Linked DNA regions of Elephas maximus indicus. Each later gene encodes a partner of the first gene's protein in a complex. Links are inferred from orthologs where the notes say so. Each region holds a gene or a part of one and is shown in the gene's direction. Other genes may lie near its edges.

What was found.
Region 2: the proteins of OGT (region 1) and RBL2 are in contact, whole or in part, in a crystal structure (PDB 4XI9), measured with the Homo sapiens proteins. The link is inferred for Elephas maximus indicus from reciprocal best matches to the Homo sapiens genes OGT and RBL2. Residues at the interface, in NP_858058.1 of Homo sapiens: His506, His508, His509, Asn567, His568, Pro569, Tyr642, Thr643, Lys644, Gln849, Phe878, Val905, Ala906; in NP_001310537.1 of Homo sapiens: Thr417, Pro418, Val419, Ser420, Thr421, Ala422.
Region 3: the proteins of OGT (region 1) and ZNF831 are in contact, whole or in part, in a crystal structure (PDB 8FUF), measured with the Homo sapiens proteins. The link is inferred for Elephas maximus indicus from reciprocal best matches to the Homo sapiens genes OGT and ZNF831. Residues at the interface, in NP_858058.1 of Homo sapiens: Phe723, Ile734, Met779, Ile787, Ile790, Asn791, Arg792, Gly793, Leu808, Ala809, Thr831, Arg832, Ser833, Gln834, Tyr835, Gly836, Leu837, Pro838, Glu839, Arg877; in NP_001371283.1 of Homo sapiens: Phe937, Ser938, Pro939, Lys940, Tyr941, Leu942, Leu943, Arg944, Leu945, Pro946.
Region 4: the proteins of OGT (region 1) and KRT7 are in contact, whole or in part, in a crystal structure (PDB 4XIF), measured with the Homo sapiens proteins. The link is inferred for Elephas maximus indicus from reciprocal best matches to the Homo sapiens genes OGT and KRT7. Residues at the interface, in NP_858058.1 of Homo sapiens: His506, His508, His509, Asn567, His568, Pro569, Tyr642, Thr643, Lys644, Gln849, Phe878, Val905, Ala906, Pro907; in NP_005547.3 of Homo sapiens: Val9, Phe10, Thr11, Ser12, Arg13, Ser14, Ala15.

Annotation. Positions count from the first base shown.
Region 1 is NC_064846.1:98,167,468-98,174,702, reverse strand, and holds the start of OGT (UDP-N-acetylglucosamine--peptide N-acetylglucosaminyltransferase 110 kDa subunit), read left to right. Parts: upstream 1-4,219; 5' UTR 4,220-4,451; coding exon 4,452-4,488; intron 4,489-7,235. UniProt on the Homo sapiens protein: Catalyzes the transfer of a single N-acetylglucosamine from UDP-GlcNAc to a serine or threonine residue in cytoplasmic and nuclear proteins resulting in their modification with a beta-linked N-acetylglucosamine (O-GlcNAc).
Region 2 is NC_064839.1:19,998,022-20,005,338, forward strand, and holds the start of RBL2 (retinoblastoma-like protein 2), read left to right. Parts: upstream 1-4,299; 5' UTR 4,300-4,422; coding exon 4,423-4,662; intron 4,663-7,317. UniProt on the Homo sapiens protein: Key regulator of entry into cell division. Directly involved in heterochromatin formation by maintaining overall chromatin structure and, in particular, that of constitutive heterochromatin by stabilizing histone methylation.
Region 3 is NC_064843.1:9,963,125-9,970,958, reverse strand, and holds the start of ZNF831 (zinc finger protein 831), read left to right. Parts: upstream 1-4,830; 5' UTR 4,831-5,034; intron 5,035-7,834.
Region 4 is NC_064822.1:107,628,388-107,635,515, forward strand, and holds the start of KRT7 (keratin, type II cytoskeletal 7), read left to right. Parts: upstream 1-4,109; 5' UTR 4,110-4,193; coding exon 4,194-4,691; intron 4,692-6,474; coding exon 6,475-6,686; intron 6,687-7,128.

The DNA of each region.
Region 1 (7,235 bases):
GGTTACCTAATTCAGAGGAATTGGTTTTTCTCTGGAATATTATCCCTAAACATCTGGAGAGGCTACAATGCCACATTGGTGTATTTTCCCCGCTTCGTTTTACCTTTGGAGCCATTTTCCACTGGCAGCGGCAGTGGCAGCACACTGGGCTCTGCTTCCTTTCACAACTCTGGCGTGGCTGCCACAAAATGTGTGCTGTTTTAAGCTGCTAAGTTTGTGGTAATTTGTTATGTGGTAATAGAAAATTAATACACCATTAATGGTGTTATCAGGGTGGCAAAATTTGGGATTGGAGCTGAAGAAACAGCTGATTTATAAAAATTGTTGTACATGAAAGGGAAAAAAGAAAAGAAAAAGAACGAGAAATCAGTGGAAAGAGAAGAAATACGCAAAAGTACCTCCTTCAATGCCCAGCTCAGGCCTTCTCCCTCACCTTCCTTCCAGCCTGAAGTGATTGTTTTCTCCCCAGGTATTTTTAGACAGAAACATATATATATATATATATATATATATATATATATATATATATATATATATATATATATATGAATCAGAATTGACTCGATGGCAGTGGGTTTTGGTTTTGGTGTTTATATATATATATGTATATATATATATACATATATATATTTTATATATATATATACACATATATATGGTGCTTTAAGTGAAAAAAAATTTTTTTAAGTGAAAGTTTACAAATCAAGTCAGTCTCTCATACAAAAACTTATATACACCTTGGTCTCCCCCTAGTGTGACAGCACACTCCTCCCCTCCACCCTGTATTCCCTGTGTCCATTCAGTCAGCTCCTGTCCCCCTCTGCCTTCTCGTCTTGCCTCCAGACAGGAGTTGCCCACATAGGCTCATGTGTCTACATAAGCTAAGGAGCTCACTCTTCACCAGTATCATTTTTTATCCCATAGTCCAGTCCAATCCCTGTCTGAAGAGTTGGCTTCAGGAATGGTTCCAGTCTTGGGCTAACAAAGGGTCCAGAGACCATGACCTCCAGGATCCCTCTAGTCTCAGTCAGACCATTAAGCCTGGTCTTTTTACTAGAATTTGAAATCTGCATCCCACTGTTCCCTTGCTCCATCAGGGATTCTCTGTTGTGTTCCTTGTCAGGGCAGTCATTAGTGGTAGTTGGGCACCATCTGGTTCTTCCGGTCTCAGACGAATGTAGTCTGGTTTATGTGGCCCTTTCTATCTCTTGGGCTCATCTTTACCTTTGTCTTTGGTGTTCTTCATTCTCCTTTGCTCCAGGTGGATTGAGACCAATTGATGCATCCTAGATGGCCACTTGCTAGTGTTTAAGACCCCAGACGCCACTCACCAAAGTGGGATGCAGAAGGTTTTCTTAATACTTTCTGTTACACCAATTGACCTAGATGTCCCCTTAAACCATGGTCCCCAAAACCCTGTCCCTGCTACTCTGGCCTTTGAAGTGTTCAGCTGTATTCAGGAAACTTCTTTGCTTTTGGTTTAATCCAGTTGTGCTGACCTCGCCTATATTGTGTGTTTAGATAGAACATATTTTTTAAAAATAATTTATTTTTGTTGTTGTTGGGAATATATACAGCAGAACATACATGAATTTGACAATTTCTACATGTACAGTTCAGGGACATTGATCATATTCTTCGAGTTGTGCAACCATTCTCACCCTCCTTTTCTGAATTGTTCCTCTCCATTAGCATAAACTCACTGCCCCTTATAAGTTTCCTGTCTAATCTTTCAAGTTGCCAATTTGATCCCATATAGATAGAACTTAAAAATGCACAATACTCAAGGAAGACATTCTTTACTAGTTAAGTTAAACTGTTGTCTGATTTTAAGAAGGCTTCAGGGGATATTTTTGGCTTAAGGTTTAAAGGTTATCTTGGGGCAATAGTTTCAGAGGTTCACCCAACCTCCATGGTTCCAGAAAGTGTGGCATCTATGAGAATTTGAAAATCTGTTCTGTGTTTCCCCCCTTTTGATCAGGATTTTTCTATAGAATCTTTGATCAAAATGTTTAGTAATGATAGCCAGGCACCATCCAGTTCTTCTTGCCTCATGGCTAAGGAGGCAGTTGTTCATGGAGGCAATTAGCCACACACACAAGAACATATTTTATCACTTAAATAATATTCTCCTGTATTGTTCTCTAGTGGCTAGGCTTCAAGTTCCTTGAGGGCAAGGATCCTGTCTTGTTCATTTCTGTATCCCCCACACTGCCTTGCATACAGAGACTCTAGTAATTGTTATTTGATTGGCTGAAGAAGGTGTGTTTGTCTGATGACTAAGTCCTTCAAGCTAAACCCTCCAAATGCTATTCCTAGAAGGTACCTGGAATGAGATTGCTGAGATTCCAACAGAGTTTTTTTTTCTTGTTGTGCCCCTGTGAGCCCCACCATCCTGCTTTCCCTAGCAGCAAAATTGTATCATAATATCCTTTGACTCTTCTCTCAGGGTGGGGAGCCTTAGACCACAAGTTTCAACGGGCCAAATGCAGGGAGCATTACCTGGCATTTAACAACATAAAGCATTCTACTTAATTAGCTATCACCTGTTAATCAGTTAGACCCAAACATCTGCCAATAGAATTTGAGAAGTCTGTTCTAAAAGTTGAAAAACTGAGTTTATTCATCACAGATGGGGTACTTTTAGTGAGAGGGGAAAGAAAAAAAAAAAGATTTTACCAGTTAAATCCAATTAAGAGATTGGTGCCCGATTTTCAGGACAGTTTGTGCAGTCAGGAAACCCTGGTGGTGTAGTGGTTAAGTGCTAAGGCTGCTGACCAAAAGGTCGGCAGTTCAAGTCCACCAGGCGCTCCCTGGAAGCCCTACAGAGCAGTTCTACTCTATCCTATAGGGTCGCTGTGAGTCGGAATCGACTCGATGGCAGTGGGTTTGGTTTGTGCAGTTTGTCTTTTTCACTGCATGATGTGACTCCTGATTATGTGATGGAAGAAATGATCATGTTATGACTTTTCTCTGTGCTCCTATCCATAATTAAAAAGTTTGTGGACTGTCTGAAAGAAATTAAAGCAGAGCATTGAGGACTTTTTTGTTTTTTAATGTAGTAGTAAAAACTTTTTGAAGAAATTCACTGACCTGCTTTCTTAGACCAAGGACTTTTTGAAATAAAAGGACACTTAGAGATCCAAATCATGGCCTCTAGTGGCTTATACTAATTTCTTGCTAATGTGGCAAGCTGTCTTAAATCCTTTCTGAAACAAGATATGAGGTATAAATTAATACTAATGTGACAACATATCTGAACACGGACTTGAAACTGCAGTGGGATAATAAGAGCTGATTTGTTCAAGGAAGTGGAGGTAATTCAGACTCAAACTAGATGTGTGGTTTAGGCAGATGGGAAATGAATTCATTTATCTCTGTTGAACTGCTTCTGAGCTCAGTGGAATCTCAGATTGTGATGATTTGCAGAGCTATTTGGTGGAAATGAAGCCACAACTCAGAAGAGTCATGGATTTTGACGAATATGAGTCATTTAACATTTCAATGCCTGCCTTTGGAGTGCAAACCCTCAGGGTGTCCCTGAGTTATTAAGCATTAACATCTGCCCCATTAATGTGGGCAGAACTATCCTGAATACCAAAACGATTTTCAAATTTTGGGCTATATGACCAAAACCTGAGATGTTTGCATTCATTTGGCCCTGTGAAAAGTATCAGTCGTTTTCATCAATGTCTGGGGTCTGAATTAAGACGTGTTCAAATTGGAACCCCCTCCGCCATCATTTTGAAGAACAGTTCAGCTTTTAAATAAGATTATTTACATTTACTTGCTTAGAACTGATCCATGATTTGTAATCATCAGCCTTGTAACTATCCATTTTTTGTGTGAATAAACTTGATTAAATTTTTTAGACTCCTTTGGCATTTATGTTTAAAATCTACATCATTGGCGATACTTTACCACTTCGGAAAAAATTTATGCGGCAAATGTATGGGTTTTTTTAACCTTATGCTTCACTATAATAAAAAAACAAAACAAAACTTGGGCGCTCATGCCCTAGACAGTGTGCCCTAGACGCGAGTCAGGTTGACAGGGCTGCTCGCATGCGCTCTCGACACAATCGTGTTTGTCGCAATGGGCCCTACGCGGAAGGCTACATAAGAGCAAGCGACTTTGATTATAGTCATTTTGTCGTCTGTAGCGCCGGTTACCGCGCTACCTCCGCTCTGGTACTTGATTGTAACAGAAAGTAGTTCCGGCCCGTGTTGTTTCGGCCGAGGAGCCGTCGCCGCCATTTCAAGATCGTGAGAGGTAGATGGTCAACCAGAGTTCCTAAGGTTCGAAGCCTATGACGCCTGCCGCCGCTTAAGACTCACAGGACACCAGTACAGCTCCTGCTCTCTTACCACTACCTCCAGAAACATTGTTGCCACTAGCGGCGGCGGCGGGACTCAATTACCCCCTCCTCGCTCTCCCCCAAGAAGCTCCAGATGGCGTCTTCCGTGGGCAACGTGGCCGACAGCACAGGTATCGGTGTCCAGTTCTATCTTAGCAGACGCCGCTTCGGGGTCTCGCGCCGTTCTCTGCCTCTCACCGCCCCCTCCCTTCCCTCTAGCCGCCCCCATTACATCAGTGGCATTGCTGAGCTGTTCGTGTTCTACCGGCATCTGGTCGGTGTTTCCTCTGTCTTGCCTTTCTCAAGCATTTATCTCTTTCATTCTTTCTGCTTTTTGCGTCCTTTCTGGCTTCTCAATGTGTGTGTTCTCGCGTTCTACTCGGAACGCTTCTAGCACACGTGCGCGCTAAGAATGGACTGCATTGGAATCCCTGCCCTTTCACTCTTCGTTCACTACCGTTCTCTGTCCGAAACCAGTTCACCGCCCTCTCCTCTTCTCTCTCCACAGCCCCCTCCAACCCTTCCGCCTTAGCCAGGTTTGGTTCTTTGTCAATCTAGGGCGGGGGTGCCATTCCGGTGTAATCATATCCCCGCTTTGCATCACCCAAAGACGAGCAGAAGCTCGCCGGTTGCTGCAAGGAACCTGAGAAGTGGGGACATTGGGCAAGCACCCCGCTGGGCAGCGCCTTTCTAGTGTTCTTTCGGTTGAGTGGCCCGGGTTTGGATTGGAAATTTCCAGGGGTTCGCTTTGCCGTCGCCCAATTCCGCATGCTGCCGCTGGCCCGGACTTCCCACCCTACTCTCCTTTCCCTCTCGCGGGGTACCACGCCCTTTCCTTCCAGAGGTTGTAAGCTTTGTGGTCCAGTTCCTACCCCTGTGGGACAAACCAGCCTGGTGCGCTTTTTTCGCACTGACCATCCTGCTTTCAGAATTTTCGCTTTGTGTTACTTTCTCAATGTATTCCTCCGCCGCCGCCTCTGGGTCTTCCATCCCCATCCTATAGCCCAGAGTCTCTTTTTTTCATAGGGTGTATGTATTTTTAAGTTTCATCCCTGCTTGAAGAGTTTGTAAAGCAACTGGAGTGTAGCTGCACAAGTGCAAGGCGGTTGCCCTTTTAGACAATTCAGTCGAAAGCATTTGGTACACGAACAACAAAAAAAAAACCCAACCAAATTCTAGGGGTTTCCTTTAGCTGCTTTTCCATATTGAGGCTGTTTGGGGCAGGGAGGGAGGGGGGATTGAGCGGTGGTTCTAAGGTTTCCTACGAGGTTTTTTTTTTGTTTGTTTATTGGTTGAAATGTGTCAAAGGTTTTTTATTTGTTATTTTTGGACATTGTGCTGTAAGTAATAGGTGAATCTTCAATAGTCTCTTATCCATAATTATAGGTGGTGGGATTAATAATTAGTCAGTGGTCCCCTCCTCCTTGCCCCATAGTGATTTTTAAAGGTTTAAGATTCTGGTTATGTACTAGCTTGCCCTTTTCTGAGTGTGTTATTTTATTAGAGGAAGTGTTATAATAGCAGATAAGCAACTTTGAAAAGTGACAAAGTAATGTGTTAAAATAAGGAGCTAGGAAGCTCTGAAGAATTATTTAAAATGTAATCTTGTAGTTTCTACTAGAGAGGTAAACTCCCCCAGATTTGGATGCAAGTCCCTCTGCTCTTTGTGTTCGTGGTCAGCTGTGCATTCCAGTCAGAAAATTTACTTGCTTTCCAGAACACACACCAGCTTGAACGATTGGGGTGCTAGGCTCAAATTTGAGTTTGTCACTGTGACCTTGGTAGAGTTTAAATAATTTGTCCGTGGTTTCCCATTTCAACCATCTAGATAGATCTAGGCATGTTGTTTGTTAAAGTGCCATGGTCAGATTCCCAGTAACGCATTACTGTTCAAATAAGCATTTGAGATTGAGACTTGGGCAGTTTGCTAGGTCCCCCCACTCCCCCCGAAGGCCCGGTGGCGCAGCGGTTAAGTGCTTGGCTGCTAACCAAAAGTTTGGCAGTTCGAATCCACCAGCTGCTCCTTGGAAACCCTATGGGACAGTACTGCTCTGTCCTGTAGGGCCACTATGAGTCGGAATTGGAATTGACTCCACGGCAACTGGTTTGGTTTGGTTTTTGGGGGGCTTTAGCCATTTTTTTAGCCATATCCTCTATCTTTCTGTATCTGAATTAAGTCACACATAGCAAAGTTTTTTTTATTTGGTATTCATTTCTTGTTGAACTTTATCAGATGTTTTATATTAGCATTTTCCTTTTTTTTTTTTTTAAACCATTACAGTTGTAGGTAACTGCTTGGTTTATATAGGGTTGTTTTCAGTGTCTTAATTCTTCAGTGCCAGAGCTCTTTGGAAAATGCTAGTGTTAAAACAGCGTGGGTGGGGCTTAGCTAATTTAGTATCCTTGTGAGTTTTGGGATGGTAGAAGAGCAATATAATCTTGGGTCTTTATTTAAATTGTTGGATGACCCCTTTAAATATTTTGGCTCTTGACAGATGTATTTATCTTGTTTATCAGCTGTTTTAAAAATAGCACTTTGACTTCTAGTTTTTTTCCTTATGTTCAGTTTCTAGAGTCACCCTTTAAAAAAATTAAATTGCGAAATATAGAAACATTAATATAAAGAGTAAAAACACACCCAGGTAAAGAGATACATTGTTACTAGTACACCTCCCCCACCCTGCAAATCCAACCTAAAGCCATTATGTTTCCCAGTAGGTTATTTGACATTAGTAAGTCTTTGTGACCTTGCAAATCACACGTTTTATGTTTTGTTTCTGGATGTTAACTAAGGGCTAAGGAATAACGTTCATTGCATCTTTAGATGTTACCTATGATTTATAATTTAAAAGTACTTTTAATCATAAAAACTGTAATA
Region 2 (7,317 bases), on another chromosome or scaffold:
AACATAACTGCCACTAATCCCACTCCACTAACATCATAGAGGTAGGATTTACAACACATAGGAAAAGCACATCAGATGACAAAATGACACAATACTGGGACTCATGGCCTAGCCAAACTGACACACATTTTTGAAGGACACAATTCAATCCATAACACCATATATGACAGAGCAGAACTGTCTCTCAAGGTTTCCTAGGCCGAAATCTTTAGAAGAGCAGATCGTGGAGTAGATCTCTAGGTCTTTCCTCCTGCAGAACTGCTCATGGGTTCAAACTGCAGACCTTTCAGTTAGCAGGTGAGAGCTTTATCTTTGTGTCACTAGAGCTCCTTCAGTTGAGAGGAGGTAGAGCAAAGCCCACGTCAATGAGCCTTGTGGGCAATAGCTGTTCATAAAAGCAGAATGGGCCAAAAGGACAGGATGTGTTTAACCTGGAGTGCCAAGGTTTCCCTGTGTATTAAATCTAGTTAATTGTTCATAGTTTACACTGTAGATTGAATTTTTAGCCCACAAATTCTCATTCACAATACCCAAAGCTGGTCTAAGGGGCAGACTTACTGAGCCCAGAGCATTGTCAGGTGGGAAACCCCAGGTTTTGCTTGGCACAAATTGTCATAGCCAATAACCAAGAGGCCGAGGTGAGAGATCAGAAAGGCACCTTTATTTCGTTTCACAAGGAAAGGAACAGTTGGGGGTAGTGCCTCCTGCTTGGCGAGGGGTAGTGGACAGTTATTTTTATAAGGCTGACATCCAAAGAGATTGTGTAACTCACATTAACAACATTCTTGGTCATATTACACAGGTGTAGTGGGGCCTACATACTGTTACATAGGTCACATATTCAAAAAATGGCAGCTATACTCCACCTAGGGGCAGAGGAGTTAATAAGCATGAGGCACTTAATGTTCTATAGGTCACCAAGAGGGTGCTGGGACCGGTCAAGCCTGATTCTAAACAGTTTTTGTGGCTCTTAGCGAGGCACACAATTCTTGGGAGAAGAGAACATCAGATGGTTAACAAAAGGGTTCTAGCATGACCCTCTCTCAACAGTATCAGTCCGTAAGGACACGAATACCTGACTGAATAAACCAGAATTAAGGTGTGAATAAACTCAGGTATCAACAAGAGACTCCACATATCAGGTGAAATATAAATTAGCACCCTCAATTGGAAATTGAACCAACCAACAAACAGCTCTTACTGATAGCAACACATTTTTTTTTTAATACCTATGGGAAACAAATCACAAACACAGTTGAAGTCATGGTTCTAATAACTCAATCCAGAAGGAATTTTTTTTTTTTTTAACACTTTGAGCCTTATGATCAAAGGAAAAAAAAAAATTTAATTTCATTGTGAGAGGGAATGAAAAATGGTATAGCCATTATAAAGTCTGGCCATTTCTCATGACATTTAATATAATTTTACTATATCCATTGCCATCGAGTCAATTCCGACTCATAGCGACCCCACAGAACAGAGTAGAACTGCTCCATAGGGTTTCCATGCTTGTAAATCTTTACAGAAACAGACTGCCACATCTTTCTCTCATGGACCAGCTCCTAAGTTTTCATTACTCTTGAGTAAATACCTAGAGGTCGTATTGCTGGGTTGTGTAGCAAGTTTTGTTTTTTTATAGCAAGTTTAAGGAGTCCTGGTGGTTCAGTGGTTAAGGCTAGGCTGCTAATCAAAAGTTCAGAGGTTTGAACCCATCAGCTGCTCTGCAGGAGAAAGATGTGGCAGTCTGCATCCATAAAGATCACAGGCTTGGAAACCAATGGAGCAGTTCTACTCTGCCCTATAGGGTCGCTATGACTCCGAATCAACTCCCTGCTTCTTGTGGTGTCAGCTGGGTCAACCAGCTGGGACAACGAACCGAAGGCTGAAAGATCTGCTTCCAAGCTGGCTCACTGAACATGGCTAGGGCTGAGGGCCATGGGCTCCTCCATGTGATCCAGGCTTCCTCAGTGTCGTGGCTGGGTTGAAAGCGTGAACATCTGGGGGCTGGGCGGGGGGAGGTGTGGCAGGAGATGAAAGCTGTATTGTATTTTATGAGCAAGCCTCAGAAATCACGTTATCTCAAGAGCCCCCTCCCCTCACCCTCAGGTTTCAATGGCAAGTTCTAGAAGAGCATGTGAGACTAGAAATACCATTGTAGCCATTTTAGGGACAATCCACCACAGAAGGACTTGAAAATATTGATATTGACAAGCAAATATTATTTTAATAAAATACATATTTGATGGTAATAAAAATAACTCTACTAAATATGGCAAAGGTAATTTTACCTCAGTAAACAATTCAAGTTTTTCCTCTAGTACAGTATTGATAATGGTACCCAAAATAAACAAGATCATTATTTTTAAGTTTAGTGTCCTCAGCCTAAATGTAAGGAAAGTACTAGAATTTTTTATAAAAAAAAAAAAAATTTATAAACCATTCATATTGGGCCTCTGTTCTTGCCCCATAGTCACCTTGAGACTCAGCACTTAGCAAATCCAAATCTAAAAGCATACTAATTAACATTAATTTTAATGAAGGTTTCAGGGAGAGGGTTTCATTGTCTCAAATTGTTCCTAACCCAAAACTAAATGCCCTGAGATAATCTTTGAACCTTAAACCAAAAATATCCCCTACAGTCTTCTTTCAACCAAACAATCGTTTAGCTTAATGAGTAAAGAATGCCCGCCTTGAGCATTGTGCTCTTTTAAGAACTGTGAAGTAAGGAATGCCCGCCTTGAGTATTGTGCTCTTTTAAGAACTGTGTACATGGGGTTAAAGTGACAACAGCAACTCAAATGATTAGATACGAAATTTAGAGGGCAGTGAGTTTATGTTAATGGTGGAGCAACAATTTGGGAAAGGAGGACAAGAATGTTTGCACAACTGAAAGAATGCAATCAATGCCTCTGAATTGTACCTGCAGAAGCTGTTGGTCTGTGTTTTGCTGTGTATACTTTCAACAACAATAGAATAAAAATTGTTCCTAAAACATCCTGTTACTTGCTTTAGTTCCTTTTCTTACCCCAGGTCTCTCCTTCCTATACATTATAGCTTCCAAAAATTCCTTCTTTTGGCCTAGCACTTGGGTTCTTTTCCTCAGTTTAGATAACCCACTGAGCAAAATAAAAATAACAGCAATGTCTTACAATTCCTCAGGCAGGAATCAAAAACCAAACCAAACCTGTCGTGGGTGAGTTCAACTTATAGGGACCCTGTAGAACAGACCAGAACTGCTCCACAGGTCTTCCAAGGTGCAGCTGGTGGATTTGAGCTGTGACCTTTTGGTTAGCAGCCCAGCTCTTAATTACTGTGCAACGAGGGCTCCCTAAAAACAAACAGAACTGGAATTAAAGTGACTCAAGTCTACTACACATATGAAAAGAACAAGTAAAAACATAAAAAAGGGAATAAAGTTAAGCCAACTGGGTAGGTAGTTGATGATAGTGCAAATATGTCCCTTATGAAAACCAAAAATCAAACCTGTTGCCATCAATCCGACTCATAGCGACCCTATAGGACAGAGTAGAAGTGCCCCATAGCGTGGATTCCAGGCTCCAACCTTTTGGTTAACAGCCATAGCTTTTAACTACTACGCCACCAGGGCTTTATGTCTCTCATAAAACCAAAAACCAAACTCATTGCCGTCGAGTCGATTCCGACTCATAGCGACTCTATAGGACAGAGCAGAACTGCCTGGTACTTCCCAAGGAGCGCCTGGTGGATTCGAACTGCTGCTTTTGATTTGCAGCCGTAGCTCTTGGCCACTCTACCACCAGGGTTTCCAATGTCACTTATAGAGAATGCAAATTTGCCCACTGGAAAAATTGAATTATTGCATTAAAGAAAGATTTAAAAAAAAAAACAATAATTACTTTAAAAGGTCACATAAACTTAAAACATAGGAAAAACTCGAAATTAGGAATGGCGCTGTGACTTGAATTTAGGCAAATTAGCCCCTTGCTATTTTTCTTTTTTTTAGCTAAAGTAACTCAGATAACGAGCAAGTATGATTTCTGGGAACAGCTCGGACAATAAGCCTTCGTGTATCCATCCATGTTTCTTGGATGTCAGTACAGCACGGCACTAGGCTAGGTTTTTAGGCAGTACAGCCACGATGGCCCCCCTCACGACCGAGAGGTACGTATACTGCAGAGGTGCCCTTCCAGCTCGGTCGCAGGGAGACGCCCACCCACTGCCCCGGACGTGGTTGTCGGTCCTGCGTTTGGCCCCCGCGGGCACCCGGCCCGGACTACATTTCCCGGCAGGCCACGCCCAGAACTACGGGTGCCTATTTGAGGTGCGGCGCCGTTGGAGGCGGCGCAGTCCGGCGAGGACGGCCGACAGGCGGGCCTTCGCGGTTTGAATGGCTCCGGGCCCTGGCCCTCGGCTCGTCTGAGGACCTGCCGCCCAGAGTGCGCTATGCCGTCGGGAAGCGACCAGTCGCCGCCGCCCCCGCCGCCCCCGCCGCCCGCGGCGGCCTCGGAGGAGGAGGAGGAGGGCGAAGGCGAGGCGGAGGACTCCGCGCAGGCGGCTCTGTCGCCGGTCGCTCAGACCCAGCTGCGGTTCGAGGAGCTGTGCGGCCGCCTCAACATGGACGAGACGGCGCGGGCCGAGGCCTGGGAGAGCTACCGGCGCATGAGCGAGAGCTACACGCTGGAGGTGAGCCGGCCGGGGCTGGGGCCGGGCCGGCCTAGTGCGCCCCGCCCGGGGGCCTTGTCGCCGGGGGCCTTATCGCCGGGGGGGCGTTGTCGCCCGGGGCCCTTGTCGCCCGGGGGCCTTGTCGCCGGGGGCCTTGTCGCCCGGGGCCCTTGTTGCCCGGGGTCGGTGCCGGGCAGCGCTCGGACCCGCGGAGCGCAGCCGGGGAGGCGGGGACGCGCTCTCCGCGCCGTAGCCTGGACGCCGCGCCTGCAGAGCCGTCTTAGCGGCGCCGAGCGAACGCCAGCCGGCTCTCGCTGCTCTTCTCGGCGTGTGACAGCCAGGCCGAGGTCGTGCTGGGGTCGCCGGTTCAGAGATGGGTCGGCGTGACCCCTCCGGCCCCCTGCCCGGCCCGCGGGCCGACTGCCAGGGATCGCACCGGCGCCGCTAGCCCGTGGGGAGCCAGGGGGCAGTGCCCGCGTTGCCAGACCCCGGCGTGCAGCCCGTCTCTAGGCGCCTTCGTGCAGGCATTGCGTCCGTTTAAGTGCACGCGCTGCTGAATTTTGGGGTGTGTTTATTTTTTACGACGAGTCTCCCCCGGGCCAAGTGACTACCCGGTCAGAGACCCACGCCCCCACCTGTCACTAGGAGGTCAGGACTGGGACCACCCCAGACGTCGCCGAGGGGGCTCTTACAGTCTCCGGGACCCGGGCACGTTCTGTTCTTTTCTTCGCACCGGGCTGCAGATGAGAAAAACGGGCAGTCTAGCCAGTGACCGTCAACGCCTCGGGCACCTCCCCTTCCCGGGCCAATGGGGAGTGACACGGAAGTCCGATGGCTTGTCAGCTGTTCGACTGCCAGTATGTGCGGCATTTAAACACGAGTCCACTTGGTTTTCTGAAGTCGTTTCATTTACAGTCTGTGGAAGGAGTCGGGCAAAAATGTTCAGGATGCAAAGGCCTAACCGAGGTCTTACTGTCTTAATAGGGTGTTCTTGCCCAGGTGTCACCCTGCTGAGTAAAGTCATTTTTTGCTCTTCTGGCGTTAATAGACTTCTAATTCAATTGCTAATTCCCACGCCCCTTTGTTATATCTACAGGAAAAAAAAAGTAGTATAGTGGCCTTAGAACCTGACCCCTCTAGGTGGCTTTGGACAACTTACTTAACCACTCCAAGCCTCAGTTTTTTGGTATGTAAAGTGAAGATGTGTTTTTTTTTTTAAAGTGAAGATGTGTGTACCTGCCTCACAGAGCTGTTCTGAAGGTTAAACAAGGTAATGTGTAGTTCGTGGTTCATAGTAGACACTCGTGCTGACAGCGCTTTAGAGTTTACAAAGCTTTTTCACATACTCGGGTGATCTAACTGGATAGGCCATGTTCCTGTTTATCCCTCATGCCCCCTGTGGTCAGGCAAAGAGGAGGACCCTTTTTTGGCAAGGGCATAACCCAGAAGCCAGTGCCGTGGAGTCAATCCCGATTCATAGCGACCCTGTAGGAAACCCTGGTGGCGTACTGGTTAAGTGCTACGGCTGCTAACCAAAGGGTCGGCAGTTCGAATCCGCCAGGCGCTCCTTGGAAACTGTACAGGGGAGTTCTACTCTGTCCTATAGGGTCGCTATAGGAAACCCTGGTGGCATAGTGGCTAAGTACTACAGCTGCTAACCAAGAGGTCAGCAGTTCAAATCCTCCAGGCAGTTCTACTCTGTCCTATAGGGTTGCTATGAGTCGGAATCGACTCCACAGCACTAGGTTTGGTTTTTGTCAAGGGCATAAGCACCACTAAACAAGCTCTTATTTTACCTTCAGTATAATCCTGTACGTTAAGTAGAACAAGCGTTATCACCATGTAGTTAAAGTGTTTCAACTCAATGGAGGTTAAGTTTTATAAGTCCAGTGTTAAACATAAGTGACACATAGTAGATGGTAAGTGAATTATTTTTGAAAACTCATGTTTGATTACCTGATATTTTTTTAAAACTCTAGTCTCAGTTTCTTAGCCCAGTTTACCTAGTAAATGAATGTTCCCTCCTTGGTCAAATATTTCTTGCCCCTTCCCCCTGTTGCCGTCTAGTCGATTCTGACTCATAATGACCCTACAAAAAAACACAAAACCAAACCCACTCATAGCGACCCTATAGGACAGAGTAGAACTGCCCAATGGAGTTTCCAAGGAGCACCTGGCGGATTTGAACTGCCGACCTCTTGGTTAGCAGCAGTATCACTTTACCACTAGGCCACCAGGGTTATAGGATGGAGTAAAACTGCCCCATAGAGTTTCCAAGGACCGCCTGGTGGATTTGAACTGCTGACCTTTATGGTTAGCAGCCATAGCACTTAACTACTACGCCACCGGGGTTTCCATTGGCAAATGATTTCCCAAACATTGTTACAGGTGCTGGGGCTAGAGCAGTGAACAAAACAGATAAAAAATCTCTACCCACATGAAGCTTATATTTATGTATAATGTGAGATAACATGGGATGTTAGTCTCGTGGAGCTGTACAATGGAGTATAAAGCTCACCCCATATAATACTTAGAACAGAATACTGGTTGAAGAATTTAACTGTTTGATTTCTTGTATTTTCTGTGCTTTACAGTTGTTAACTCATTTAATTCTCATAGTCCTCGGATAAGAAAACTGAGCCTCTGGAGCTGTTAAGTAGTTTGCCCCCCCCCCCC
Region 3 (7,834 bases), on another chromosome or scaffold:
TCTAAATGTTTGGTTGAATTCCCCCAGTGAAGCCACTGGTCCGGGACTTTTTTTTTGTTTGTTTGGTCGGGAGGTTTTTGATCACTGATTCAGTCTCTTCACTTATTATGGGTTTGTTGAGACTTTCTATTTCCTCTTGAGTCAGTTTGGACAGTTTGTGTCCTTCTGAGAATTTGTTCTATTCATCTAGGTTATCCAGTTTGATGCCGTACAGTTGTTCATAGTATTCTGTCATAATTTTCTTTATTTCTCTTGAGTCAGTTGTAATGGCTCGCTTTCATTTTTTATTTTGGTCATTTGCATCTTTTCTCTTTGTCAGTCTAGCTAAATGTTTGTCAATTTTATTGATCTTTTTAAAGAACCAACTTCTAGTTTTATTAGTTCTTTCTGTTTTCAATTTTATTTATTTCTGCTCTGACCTTTGTTGTTTCCTTTCTTCTGGTAGGTTTAGGCTTAGTTTGCTCTTCTCTTTCTATTTCCTGGAGTTGTTGAGTTAGGCTGTCGGTTTGAGAGCTTTCTTCTGTTTCATGTGGGCATTTATTTCTATAAGTTTCCCTCTGAGTACTGCCTTTGCTGTATCCCGTATGTTTTGGTATGCTGTGTTTTCATTTTCACTTGACTCTAGGAAATTTGTGATTTCTCTTTTGATTTCATCCTTTACCGACTGGTATTTTAATAGTGTGTTGTTTGATTTCTAGATGTTTGTGTATTTTCCAGGTTTTTTGTTTTGTTTTGTTTTTGATATCTAGCTTCACTTCATTGTGAACAGAGAAAATACTTTGTATGATTTCAATCTTTTAAAATTCGTCAAGATGAGCTTTGTTACCTAATATGTGGTCTCTCTTGGAGAGTAACCCCTGTGTACTGTAGGAGAATGTGTTTTCTGCTGTTGTTGACTGGAGTGTTCTATACATGTCTGTTAAGCCTACTTGGTTTACAATGTCTTTCAAGTCCTCTGCTTCCTTGCTGATCTTCTTTCTAGATGTTCTGTCCGATATTGAAAGTGGTGTATTGAAGTCTCCAACTATTATGGTAGTATTATTTCTCCCTTCAATCCTAACAGTGTTTGTATATTTAGTTGCCCCTATATATATATATATATATATTTATGATTGTTAGATCTTCTTGATTAACTGATCTTTTTATTACTGTTTTCATTGTGTTTCTTGGTAGTAATCCATTCACCCATCATTTCCTCCTCGAATAGTGCCTAGTATATAGTAGACGTTCGAATTCTCAGCCAATGAAAGATTAAACGAATTGGATATTTATTTACATTATCCTTTGACCTTTGTCTTTTCACAGGACTGTGCTTTTGTTTTGGTTTTCATTAAAAAAAAAAATAGACTATATTTTTTAGAGTAGTTTTAGGTTTACAGAGAAATTGTGCAGAAAGTATAGAGAGTTCCCATCTCCCTCATCTACCCTCATCACACAGTTTCTCCTGTTATTAACATTTTGCATTCCTGTGGTAAGTCTGTTACAATTGACGAACTAATATTGACACATTGTTACTAAACTCCATTGTTTACATTAGGGCTCACTCTTTGTGTCCTACAGTTCCATGGGATTTGACAGATGCGTGGTGTCATGTGTCCAGCATTACAGTGTCATGCAGAATAGTTTCACTGCCCTAAAAATACCCCCTGTTCTACCTGTTCATCTCCCCCTCCCCGAGCCCTTGGAAACCACTGATCCTTTCACTGTCTCCACAGTTTTGCATTTTCTAGGATGTGGTAGAGTTGGAATCATATAGTACCTTTTCCAGGCTGGCTTCTTTCACTTAGCAACACGCATTTACGGTTTTTCCATGTCTTTTCCTGGCTCGATAGCTCTTTTCTTTTTATTGCTGAATAATGCTCCATTGCATGAATGTACCAAAATTTGTTTATCCATTCATCTACTGAAGGAGATCTTGGTTGCTTCCAATTTTTGGAAGTTATGAATAAAGCTGCTACAAACATTTATGTGAAGGTTTCTAAGTAGACATATATTTTCAACTCATTTGGGTAAATACCTAGGAGTGTGATTGCTGGATCTCTTGGTAAAACTATGTTTAGCTCTGGAAGAAATTTCTAGACTGCCTACCAGAGTGGCTGCACTGTTTTGCAAAGGACTGGCGTAGGAAGTGCTCAAAGAGAGGATCATTGCTTGGCCTGATGAGTGAGTGACTAGATGGACGGAGAAGGTGCTAGAAATTCGAGGCTAAAAGTCTGGCCTCACTTCCCGTTTTGACTCTGGAGGAAACTGGTGTCATTGGCTAGTGTGGGCCCGTTTCAGAAACTTGGCTGGTCATCCCTTCCTCGAAAGCCTCTTTGAGAGGGGCTAGTCTCTACATTCATTTCCTCTCACATACCCTCTCTTCCTTCCCTCCTAGGATGCACCTCTCCCTCACTTTGGCCACAGCAGGCCTGGCCCCCGTGACTCTCCAGGGCTTGAACCCATCTGGGACTTTTCCCCTGTTGTGAACAAAACCATCTCAGGGGGCTGGATTCCCAGGAGTACCTAGTGGGTGCTACCTGGGGGACCAGAGCAAGACACAGCCAAATTGTCTTCCTTGAGGCCAGGCAGTTGGCTGGATCGTCATCTGAACTTGAATTTCACTTTCTTTTTCTGTTGTGCTCAGGACTGCATCCTAAGTCAGCCTGAAGATTTGTGGAAAAGAAAATCCAGAACTCAAAATGGGTACATCCACGTTGTCATCACGACCGGTTAGCCTCTTTCTGAGTAAAGATCAACAATAATTTTCAGCTTTGTTTAAAGCCTCTTTAATGGATTCTCTGAAATGCTCTAATTACAAATGATTACCCATCGAAGAGCTCACAAGCCCTTTGGAACTCCTCCACATGCTCACGAGGAGCTCAAGCTGTCTGAGGTGCTCAGGCAAGAGGGGGGCAGCCCTCTTCTTCTTTAAATCATGTCGTTTGGAGAGTTTACTAAGGCAAGCAGGCTTTCTCTCTTTTTGGTCTGAGGCAATGGGCTCTTTCTTCACTTTCCATCTGTTTCCGTCTTGTTATCCAGCAAGAAATTAGATGCCTTTTAAATTATATGGAAGTCTCTTTCTTATCAAATACCACCACAATGCTTTCCGGTTTACACAGGATTCTGCAATGTATTGTCTCTTTGAACTTCATGAAAACCTCTGAGGGAGACTGGAACATCCACTTTTTAGACTAGGGTTTCTCAGCTTCCATACTATTGCTGTTTGGGGCCATACACTGTACTGGGGGCTGCACATTGTAGGATGTTTGGCAGCATCCCTGGCCTCTACCCACTAGATGCCAATAGCAGCTTCTCAATTGTGACAACCAAGAATGTCTCCACACATCACGCAATGTCCCCTGGGGAGCAAAATCACCCTTGGTTGGGAACCATTGACTTAAATCCATTTTCAGATGAGGAGGCTGGGGCTCAAGTGAGGGGAAGGGCCCATAGATGATGAGTTGTAGAGCTAGGGCCTGCCAGCCTCTTACCTTCCCTTCACTAGATGGCCTATAAAACCAAAAGAAGCCAAACCAGTTTCTGCCAAGTCGATTCTGACTCATGGTGACCCCAGGAGTTCCTGAGTAGTGCAGTTGGTTAAGTGTTTGACTACTAACCAAAAAGTTGGCAGTTCGAACCCACCTAAGGGAGCCTTAAAAGACAGGCCTGGTGATATGCTTTGGAAGGGTCACAGCCTTGAAAACACTATGAAGCAGTTCTACTCTGCACATGTGGGGTTCCCATGAAGATGGTCCATACTAAAACCCACTGCCATCGAGTTGATTCCGACTCATAGCAACCCTGTAGGACAGAGCAGAACTGCCCCACAGGGTTTCCAAGGCTGTAATCTTTATGGAAGCAGACTGCCACATCTCTCCCATGGAGTCATTGGTGGGTTCCAATCACCGAGCTTTCAGTTAGCAGCCAAGTGCTTAATCACTGTGCTCCCAGGGCTCCTTAGGATGGTCCATAGGAGCCTCCAAGACTAGCAGAGCCCTCCATCTTGTCCTGCCATCCTGTCATCATCATCCCAAATGAGAATGCCTTTCCTGGTGAAATTCTCTCCTGGGGTTGAAGCATTTCATGCCTTTGCTCTTCCGTCTCCCTTCTGGAAGATCTGTGAGCTGGGAGGACAGGCTTGGACGTCTCGCTGTGATCTCCATGGTGCCTGCACAGGCCTGCAAGCAGGGAGGACAGGCTCGGACGTCTGGCTGTGATCTCCATGGTGCCCGCACAGGCCTGCGAGTAGTGGGCCCAGTGAGTCTGCAGATCTGGGCATGGCACCACTGATGACCCCGTGAGTTAGAGCCTGCTCCCTGGTCCAGGATGGCTCCCTCGCTGGGTGTGAGAAGAGAAACTCAACCTTGGGTGTGAGAAGTGAAACAAGTGAGAAACTCCTCAAATATCTGGATGTTCCCCAAGCAGTGGGGGTCACTCTTGATGACCTAACCTACCTATCCATCCCAGTAGCCTTGCAGGGTGGTGTGGCTGGAAAAGGTGGGGCCAGAGGATCCCAGATGCAGAACGCCTGCTCCCGCCCTCCTCCTCAGAAACTCAAGAGGAGAGATTGAAGGGAGTTGAGTGCTGAAAGAGAAAAGAAAACAGAAGTTTCCATTTGTACCGGATGGTTTTGTTTTTTTATCTGTTTGCAAATGTTCACTCTAACGGTTTGAAACCTAGCGGGTGTAGCTGCTGCCGCCCACACATGAAGCTGCAGTGGTACGGAGCTCTAGCTGGCAAACCGTATTACCAGCAACGGCCATTACCCGTCCCCACCCAGAACAGGCTCAATACCTACCCCCGCTGTCCCTAGGCCACCCCCTACCGCCCCAGCACCCCAGACGCCCACCACCCTCCACACACAATTTCTTTCGTTCTTTTTCTTCTTTTTTTTTTTTTAAATTTCCAGCACTCGGCTTTCTCTAGAGAAGGCATAAAGAGAAGCAAAGGCAGAAATGGGACGAGCAGAGAGACTGCTCCTGCCTCGTCGGAGCCACCAGCTTTCGGGAGCGAGCGGCAGCCCCCACCTGCCTGTGGACTGACCCCTGAAAGGTGAGAGAGGACTTTGATTTCTTTGTGCAGCTGGAGGTCTGGGAAGCAAGGCCGGATGAAGGGGTCTTATCACGGAGCCCCGGCTGCTGCCTTTCGAGTGATTCTATCCGGCAAGCATGATGGATGCCTCCTCCAAACACACGCAGTGTCTCCCACACAAGCCCCCTCTCGAGAAGGCCCCCTCTCACCAGGGCCTCCTGCTCCCCTCCTCCATCTTCCAGCCCAGCCCCCCAAAGCTAAGATATGGATGAAGGGATTATTCTACTTTAAGCCTAACCTGTTGATTTTCGACTGAGGCTGCCAGGCTGCTGACCTTTCCTTCTAGTGAGCAGGACCCAGGCTTTCTGGACAATATGGAATGGCTCTCCACCCAAGGGGCTTTGGGAAGCCTGTTTCCCTAGTGGCCTCAAGCCCGGTAATCAGAAGCAGTCAGACCCAGCTGCCCAGCTACTCTGTATGAAATAGTCTTCTTTCCTGGTAGAAATCAACAAAGTTTACAATAGAAGGGACGGTGATCAGAGACTCAGCTACAGAGTGCTGTGCGAGGTGCAGCAGGCCAGGACATCCACAGGGGAAATGCTGAGCACAAATTAGGGCTCCCCACCATGTGAACCAGGAAACAAAAAAAGAAAAAGGGTTTCCTTGCTTATGAAGCATGTTCGTGGGTCGAAGGGTAGCCGAGCGGGGCCATCTCCTCTGGAAGGCTTAGCCCTCTGAACAAGGACAGAGAGAAAGGAAGAACAACAAAGCTGGGAAGGTAGACAGAAAGGCCATAATGTAAAGCATGTAACAGAGCAGACAAAAGCTCCCAGCTCTGTGCGTGAGGGATGAATCAGTTGGCAGAAGTCTATTTTTAGAGTTCCCAGGATCTGATGCTACATCTTGCCTGGCATTAATTAATGTCACAGGCATGTTTTCAGCCCCATGTTCTGAAGGGCCTTAGCACGTCACTCAAAGGAGGTGGCCCTCATGGACGGGCCCTCTCTGGGCCTCATGGGGTCTGGGCTCCTACACAAACACGTGTCCTGGACGTTCCGCTTCTTGGCCTTGTCCCCACCAGGTGTATCCGTTAATCTCCTGGCTCCAGCCCTTGGATATCTGGCCACAAGCCAAGGGAGAATTACAATTGTTATGGTTTGTTTTTCAAAAAGGAAAGCCTGAACAAGCTGAAATTGGAAAAAAGATGTTGCCTCATGGCTTGGGATTAAAAAAAAAAAAAGGCTTTGGGGGCAACTCTACGACCGCGAGGAAGAAGGATGAGGCCCCCCTAATCTCCAAACAAGGCCGATTCGACAAAGTAGATTTCATAACTGAGGAACGTATTCCAATGAAGTTTAGAGAAAGTGTATAATATTTTAGCAAGAAGGCATTATATGACTGGGGTGATCAGATGCTGGCTGAAATAGCGTGTGAGGCTAATTACCCCCGCAAAGCTTGGCCCCATTTCAGAGCTGAGGCTGTAAATCTGAAGAACAATTTAAATGCAGGAGTGATTGTAAGCAGCACGCCTTGTTTTCTGAGGTGATAACAGGATAACAGTGCAAAAGGCAAGAACGAGAAATGGAAGGCCAAGTGGGAGTCCAACTGTTGGGACAACCATGTTTGTACATTCGCAACAATTATTAGGTCAGTGAGAAAGTGCGGATATATCATGGCCACTGATTAGGAGACACATCCCTTAAACTCTCTTAAATTATTCGAAATATTCTACCATTATCATGGAGTCCGAGCCTCTGGTGGTACAAACAGTTAAGCACTCGACTACTAACCTAAAGGCTGCCCCAGAGATGCCTTGGAAGAAAAGACTGGCAGTTGGCTTCTGAAGGCCTTGACAACCCTATGGAGCACAGCTCTGCTCTGAAACACACGGTGCTGGAAACGACTCGATGGCAACCGGCTGCCATAGAGTCAGACTCAGCCGTTGACTAGTGAGTTGTCCAGCGACATTTATCAAGGTAGTCATCCTTTCACTCATAAGTCATTTGTCATTGGTCCATCCAAGACGGGCATGACCGATGTCCCAAGAGTAGGCTGGAAGGATCCCAGGATGACCTGTGGCACATGGCCATTCCATCTGATAAATGGAAAAATGCAGAGTAGCTGATCTCCGCTGACCCTTGCCAAACCGGTTTCCAGGTTTTCAAGAAAGATTGCCCCTGAGTTTCTGAAAGTCTTGAGGAGAAAGATCACAACCACCCAGAGGGTATGAGCAAGCAGGGTGCCCACGACTTTGGGTCTCATGCCTGCTGCGAGGTTCAATTCCATCCTTTCACCCAGAGAGCTGATTCAGGGCTCTTAAGTCACTCATCTCACCTCCATGTGTCTGGGGTGAGTCCTGCCCTCCCGGCTACACTCGCACACCGTGGACACTCTTTGTCACACCCTTTCCCAGGGCATTCTGAGCCTGGGAAAGGCAGGCACAGTTGGGTTGTTCTAAGCTGGAACCCTGAGTTCAGCCTTGGCAAGAGGCCATGGGAGGAGCCAGGAGACGGTCTCTCCATTCGTCAGGAGGTCCTCTGGCCCGTTCCAGGCTGGCCATGTCTGTGACCACAGATGTATGGGGTGTGTGTTCTTCTTGGCATGTCACACAAGGCATGTGGCTTCCAGATCCCTGTCCTCTGCCATCTGACCAGAGGATGCCACTAGGAAATCAACGGAAACGTCCTCTGGTGCCCCAAACTGAAGTCCTTTTGCTGTTTGGTTGTTTCTTTATGCATCTGACATGGTTTGACATGCAAGATCAGATGGGAAAAAACCCAGTTGCCATCCAGCCAATTCTGACTCCTGGCAACCCCATGTG
Region 4 (7,128 bases), on another chromosome or scaffold:
AAACTCCACCAGTATATAAAGGGTTTCACTCTTTTTAATAAACAGTATTCCTTTGAATGTACATAGTACAGTTCATTAAATCACTTCCCTTTATGCATTTATCATGTTTTGAGTTTTTTGCTACTATCAAACCATGGCAACAGAGACCACATTCATATGCACACATTTGGTGAGAACATCTGTAGGATGAGTCCTTGGCAATGGAATTACTTGGTCAAAGGACAAGTTATTTATTTATTGAGGTAAGGGCAGATGTCTTTAATTTTGATAGCTATTGCCAACTGGCCCTCCAAAGAGAACGCACAAATTGGTAACCTCACCAAGAAAGGACAAAGCATTCTATTACCCACACACCCGCCAGTGCTGTTATTAATAACACAATTTAGTCTTTGGGGGTTTGATAGATGAAAATTGCTTTTCATTGCTATTCTTACTACATTTCTTTAATTTGATGAGGTGGAGCTCTTTTTTCATGTATACTATTTGGTTTTCTTTTTTTATATGAACTACCTTACCTGTTCACGGAAGTAATTTAGTAGGTCCATCTTCCAAGGTTCAAATCCTGGCTTTTCTACATACTAGCTGTGTGACCTTGGGCAATTTATTTAAATTTGTTGTGTCTCAGTTTCCCCTCTTAAAATAAGGACAATAACATACACCTGCATCGCAAGTTATTGTGAGAACTAAATGGGTTAATTGGATGCAAAGTACTTAGAAGAGTGCCAGGCAAAATCGTGGTAAGTACAGTGAAGATGGAGCAGGACTGGGCACCATTTCTTTCTGTTTTACATAAGGCTGCCATGAGTGTGAGCCGAGTCCATGGCAACTAACAACAACAACAAACAATAGCTCATAGTATTCATGCCTGTTGCTCACTTTTCTGCTGGGTTGTTTGTCTTTTTCTTACTAATTCGTACAATCAGGAAATTAGCCTGTTGGCTGGCTTATGTATAGCTTCCTTGTCCTTTACCATTTGACCTTTTTTTGTATTATATTTCATACAGAAATACTAAATAGTTTTTATTATGACTACCAGTCTTTGCATTCCAAGATAATTAAAAAAAAAATTCTTTTTTTCCCTGGCCAATCAGGGGACGTTTTTTATGGGATAGACAATGAGTAATGGTTCTGCAAATGCAAAACCAGAAACCAAACCAGTTGCCATTAAGTCAATTCCAACTCATGGAGACCCCGTGTGTGCAAAGTAGAACTGCTCCATAGGGTTTTCAAGGCTGTGACCTTTTAGAAGCAGATCACCAGGCCTGTCTTCCAAGGTGCCTCTGGGTGGGTTTGAACTGCTAACCTTTTGGCTAGTAGTTGAGTGCTTAACCTATTGCACCACCCGAGGACTCCTTCTACAACTGCAGAAGGGAGCAAAAAAGAATGTCTCCCCCACCTGTCTGGAAGAGGAGAAGTAAGCTCCTCCACCAGGGCTGGAGCAGCTGTGGTGTCTGGGACAGTTCAGTGAAGCCTAGAAGGGCTGAGGGACTGGCTTGCTTGTCTGCTCAGATCTGGACTCCAGAAGACGCGGTGGGAAAGGAGGTAGGAAGTGGGAGGACAAGTTGAGTGTGGGCTTGGGGGGGGTGCCACAGAATACTACAAGATGAGAATGAGTCTTTGGGGGTGGGCAAAGGACTACTGGGGGAAGGGCTTTGTAGGATTAATTTATCTCAAGATTCTGCCCAGAATCCCATAAGGTGGTCTCTGGGAGATGGACAGAGGCATGGGCTGGGGGGGAGGGGGAGCTGAGTTTGGATGAACCACTAGACTGCACGCTCTTGTGGGGCAGGGATCCTTGGCTCTCAGTGCTGACAGTTTCTTGAGGACCCCTCCAGTGGGTGTTTATGCACACTGCCTGGCACCAAGTGGGGTCCCAGTGTTGGCCTGTGAATGTAGACAGGTGGACAGTGAGGGGGCTGGAGCTGCCAGGAATGCTTGAAGGGGGGCGGGTGATGGAGAGGCTGAGGGCTGACAGTGGGCAGGGGCTGCAATGGGAAATGTTGCTCAACGGGAGGCTGAAGCCATGGCTCATAGGCCCTTTCTCTGCAATCCCTCCCTCAACTCCCTCTACAACCCCTGTGCCCTTCCAGGTGTTAGGTAAGTGGAAGGGCCACACAAGTGGCCTGGGGAGGGGGAATGATGCATCCAGGGTGACAAGGCAGGTCACTGGCAGTGCCTTGCCAAAGATTCTCAGGCCAGGCTCTAGAGGAGGAATTCCTGGCATGGGTAGGGCACAGCTTCCTCCAGAGTACAGATTCTGGGGGAGGGCTGAAGGTGGGAGAGGATGTGGGGAAGAATGGAAAAGCAGATTGAGGAGGAGTCCTGAGAGGTAAGCACAGAGTGGGTGCATTTGTGTGTGTGTGTGTGTGTGTGAATTAAACAATTAGTCTCCTTTGCCCACTTGGAGGCTGGGGGCGGAGGTGTGGGTGGCTGGAGCAGAATCTCCATGACTGCAAATATCACAGGACCAGGAAATCTATAACTGAGAATTTGAGATTAAATCTCTCTTTCTCCCTTCCTCTCTCTCTCTCTCACACACACAGATGCACACGCATGCATACACACACACAGCAGACTCCACTGTCTCCGTGGGCATCCCTCTGCCTCTGGACTGAGCTGCCCTCAAAACAATGGTGAGGGGAAGGCCTCCCCCAAGAGTGCTGAGAAGCGACTGCCACAGGTTTAGCCTCACCGGGAGTAATCTCTTGTCTAACTGAAATGTCAGACCAGGAAGGGCATTCCATCCCCACCCTTCTCCACCCAGGACTTCCCCTAAGGGCTTGTCTAAGGTGACAATCTGTCCAGCTCATCCAGGTGGGGCTAACGGTGGGCTAAAGGTGACAGGCCTTTCAGCAGTCTTTTCCAAAGGCTCCTCTGGCTGTCCCTGAGCAAGGTCTGGGAATTTTGGAACCTGACCCCCTCCCCCACCCCGCCCGCAGTGGAGGGGGTGTGGCCTGTGTGGCTCCAGGCTACTAGGGAGTGAGGCCAGCACTCAGTTAGCAAAGACTGTCCATTGTGTTCTGTTCCAGCACAATGTTTACCCCCCTCTTGGACTCGGTTTGAAACTGCTGGGGATTGTTTGGTGGTGGCTTCAGTGGGGGAGGTCTGGTAGATGAGTGACTCTTGGTGGCAGACCTGGCGGCCCTTAAAGAGGAAAATGGCAGAGCTGGGGGGATGGGGAGGAGTGTTTGAGCGCAAATACAAGCACAAGCACACAGAAAGGATCACACAAGCAGCTACCAACTTAAAGGTTAGTGGTTCGAACACACCCAGTGGTGTTTCGGAAGAAGGCTTGGTGATCTGCTTCCATAAAGATTACAGCCAAGAAAACCCTATGGAGCAATTCTACAGTGTAACACATGGGGTCACTATGAGTCAGAATTGACAGAACAGGTAGCACACAGATATGCATACAAACGTGCAATTATATATCCACAGACCCTCCTCCCAGGCACACGTACACAGACTCCCACTTCTGTAAGTATGTATACAGACATGCACGCATATATGCCTATGCAAAGTCCAATGACTCACAGCTGTGTACACAGAAGTGTCACAAATACACAAAGGTGTCCCCTTTCTCTACAGGGGCAAATAAAATAGGTGGGCAGGGGTGTGAGTCGGGGTGGGTTGGGGAAGCATAGGCCCAAGGTAACCATTCCCACTGGCTTCAGTTGCCTATTGGAGTGGGCCAGAAGTCAGGCCATGCCCCACTCAGCGTGGAATGAGGTGGGGGGATGTGGTCAGGGAGACCAGCTTGGCCAAGCTCAAGCAGCCTCTCACCGAGGTCTGGCACATCCTGGGGTCAGATTATTCAAGACCTGAGCTGATCTCTGGAGGAGGAGCTGGTTTTGGAAGGTTGGGGTGGGGATGAGGGATGCCATTTTGGCTTTCAGCTGCTGGGGGAGCTGACTCCCAGGACTGAAACTTTTTTGTCCCCCCCACCCCCCCGCCCCTGTCTCTTACCCTCTGGTCTCCCTGTTCTGGCCTCAGGAATTTGGATGTTCTTCATACCTTGCTCAAGCCTCCTTTGGGAAGCTTTCCCTGACTGAGCCCTTCTCAGCTTCCGGCGCCTGCCTGCATCTGGGGGCCTAGGGGTCTACGTCAGCCGCACCCTCCCTCCCCGCTTCGGACCGCTCTTGCTTGGACTGAAAGTCTGGGCCCCGGCGAGGAGGGCGGCGCGGAGGACGGAAATGCGGCCCCAGGAGGGATCTGTCTGGCAGCGAAAGGTGGCTCGTGGCCAGCCCCGCCCCTACCTGTGTAAGCTGATCCGCCCGGCCCAGCGGATAAAAGAGGCCGAGTACACCGGAGGTCAAAGAGTTGCTGCTGCGCCTTGCCTGCTGCTCTGTCCAGCCGGCGTAGCCGCTATGTCAGTCCACTTCGGCTCCCAGGTCTTCAGCTCGCGCTCCGCCGCCTTGCCCGGCCGTGGCGCCCAGGTGCGCCTGAGCTCCGCGCGCCCCGGGGCCTTCGGCAACAGCAGCCTGTACGGTCTGAGCGCCTCGCGGCCGCGCGTTACTCTGCACTCCGCCTACGGAGGACCAGTGAGCGCCGGCATCCGCGAGGTCACCGTCAATCAGAGCCTGCTGGCCCCGCTGACTGTGGACATCGACCCCTCCATCCAGCAGGTGCGCCAGGAGGAGCGCGAGCAGATTAAGACCCTGAACGACAAGTTCGCTTCCTTTATCGACAAGGTGAGCCCTGCACGGACCCTGCCCCGAGCCATGCTCCAGGCCACACCAGCCACCCAAACCCTGCTGGCACACTGGCTAGGCGCTGGGAGACTTGCCCGTTTCCTCTTTTCTGCCAATATCGGGGGATGCCTTCTCAAGTCCTGCTCCCGGCCCACTAACCCTGACGCTATTTTGCCCACCTCTGGATCCAAGCCCTCTCCTCCAGCAAGCTGCCCCAACCGCCCCTCCCTTTCCTGGCAGAGAGAAACTGTGGTGGCGCAGTGGTTAAGCGCTCGGCTGCGCTAACTGAGAAGTTGGCGGTTTGAGAAAGATGTGGCAGTCTGCTTTCCTAAAGGTCACAGCCTTGGAAACCCTATGGGGAAGTTCTACTCTGCCCTACAGGGTTGCTGGACAGCAATGGGTTTGGTTTTTCTCCCAGAGCGTGAGGGTGAGATCTGTCCAGCTGCCCAGGCTGGCTGTGTCTGTGATCCGCTGGGGCTACTGGGGGCAGCTGCATCACCAGTTTCAGGCTGGGAGCTCCAGAGGACAGGACCAGGAGCTCTCTTTCTAGATCCCTTCTCCTGAGGGTGCTGGGTGGAGTCAGGGAAGGGGTGGGAAGTGACATGCCCTTCTCAGCTGCTGAGATCCTCGCCTCCCTCAGATGCTGCCCATGCTGAGGTAGATGATAGAAATAAAGGGCTGGAGGGAGGGAGGCTCCTGGTCTCACCTGCCCCACCTACCTGGTCCTTGAGCCTCTGTTTGGTGGCAGGAAGTGAGGTTACACACCTGTTCTTGGAGATAGCTCAGTTGGGAACGGGGAGGTGGCACTGAGGGACCCTGGGGAGGCGTTTCTCCTGGCTATTTGCTCCTGCCTCACATCGGCCCCACCCATGGGGCAGATGACTGGTGGGCCTGGAAGGGGTGGGGGCAAGGTGGGCATAGCTGGACTCAGGAACTAAGGCCTGGCCCAGTTGGGCCCCTCTGGCCAGAGCTCCCTCCCACTAGCTTAGACCAGGCTTTGCGTCTTCTGATTTTGTGCACCTCCCTGACTCTTTCCCTTCCATCATCCCACCCTGAGAGTCCTCCTCTCCTTTATCATTCAGACTGTACACATCCTCCAGTGTCCCCTGAAGCCAGGCCATCCAGGCCTAGACTCCACCTGTCACTGAGCCGCACTATCTTACTTCTTCAGTCCCCAGGTCCTGGGCTTTGAGATGGCTACTCTTGCCTCCTACTCCCAGCCACAGTGGGTGGTTCTAAGGGCCTTTCTGGGCCCCAGGGCTGGCAGAGGGCTGGCCACATAGTGGGTGCTCGTTTTACATTTTACACAGAGCCCTGTCCTGAGGCCTCCACGGAGGAAAGGGGAAGGAACGAAAGGATACAGACGAGGGAAGAGATGAGTTCCCAGCCTGAGGGGAGAGACAGGCCTTGTCAGCTGAGGACACAGATATGAAGAGGGCAGCCCTCAGAGAGGGAGGTAGAGAAGGGTACCGTAACACGATGGGAGCGAAGGAGGGAGGAGACTCCCAAGCACATTTTTTTGAGAGCCAGGCACCAGAAGTACATTGTGAACTAGGCAGGACTAGTCCCTGGGTTACGCTCTGGGACACTTGAGAAAGAGTTGTGGAAGAGAGACTTATTTAGGGTGGGCTTCCTGGAGGAGAGGGGCAAGGGCTGGGAACTGGTGTCAGGCGAATAGCCAGTGGGAACATAGGCTCAGCTGGGTGGCTGGAGGCCCTTCCCAGCTCCGCGGTGGGGGGTGCCATTGGGCCCCTCATGAGTTCCCATTCTATGTCCCTTGTAGGTGCGGTTCCTGGAGCAGCAGAACAAGCTGCTGGAGACCAAGTGGGCACTGCTGCAGAAGCAGAAGTCAGCCAAGAGCAGCCACCTCCCGGGCATCTTTGAGGCCCAGATTGCTGCCCTTCGGCGGCAGCTTGAGGTGCTGCAGGTAGATGGGGGGCGCTTGGAGCTGGAGCTGAGGAACACGCAGGACGTCGTGGAAGACTTCAAGAATAAGTAATGTCCCCCAGTGTAACCTGCGGGGCAGGGGCCCCTGCCCCTGGGCCATTGCACCGCTTCTGCAAGTCGCCTCTGGGCCAGGGGTCAGAGGCCAACTGCTCAGTACAATAACTCCCTGAAGGACAGGTCTTTCCTAACACATTCCCTGACTCCTCCTCTCCCACTTCTTTGTCCTTCGGGGTTATTTCCAGTTAATTCTGGTCTTTTCTCCTGACTTAATCCCAGTGAATTGTCTCAGCCCAGCCCTGAACTTCACTGTTCCCATTGGGCACATGACCAAGACCCCAAGAGAGGATAGGGCAGAAAGTGCCCTATGATAGATGTGCTTCAGAACTGGCACAACCCTCACAGATAATTCTAGAACAACTCCATATTGTTCGGATGAAGAATTAGAGAGCAAAGAGGTTCAGGGACTTGATGGAGAGTACATAGCAAGTCA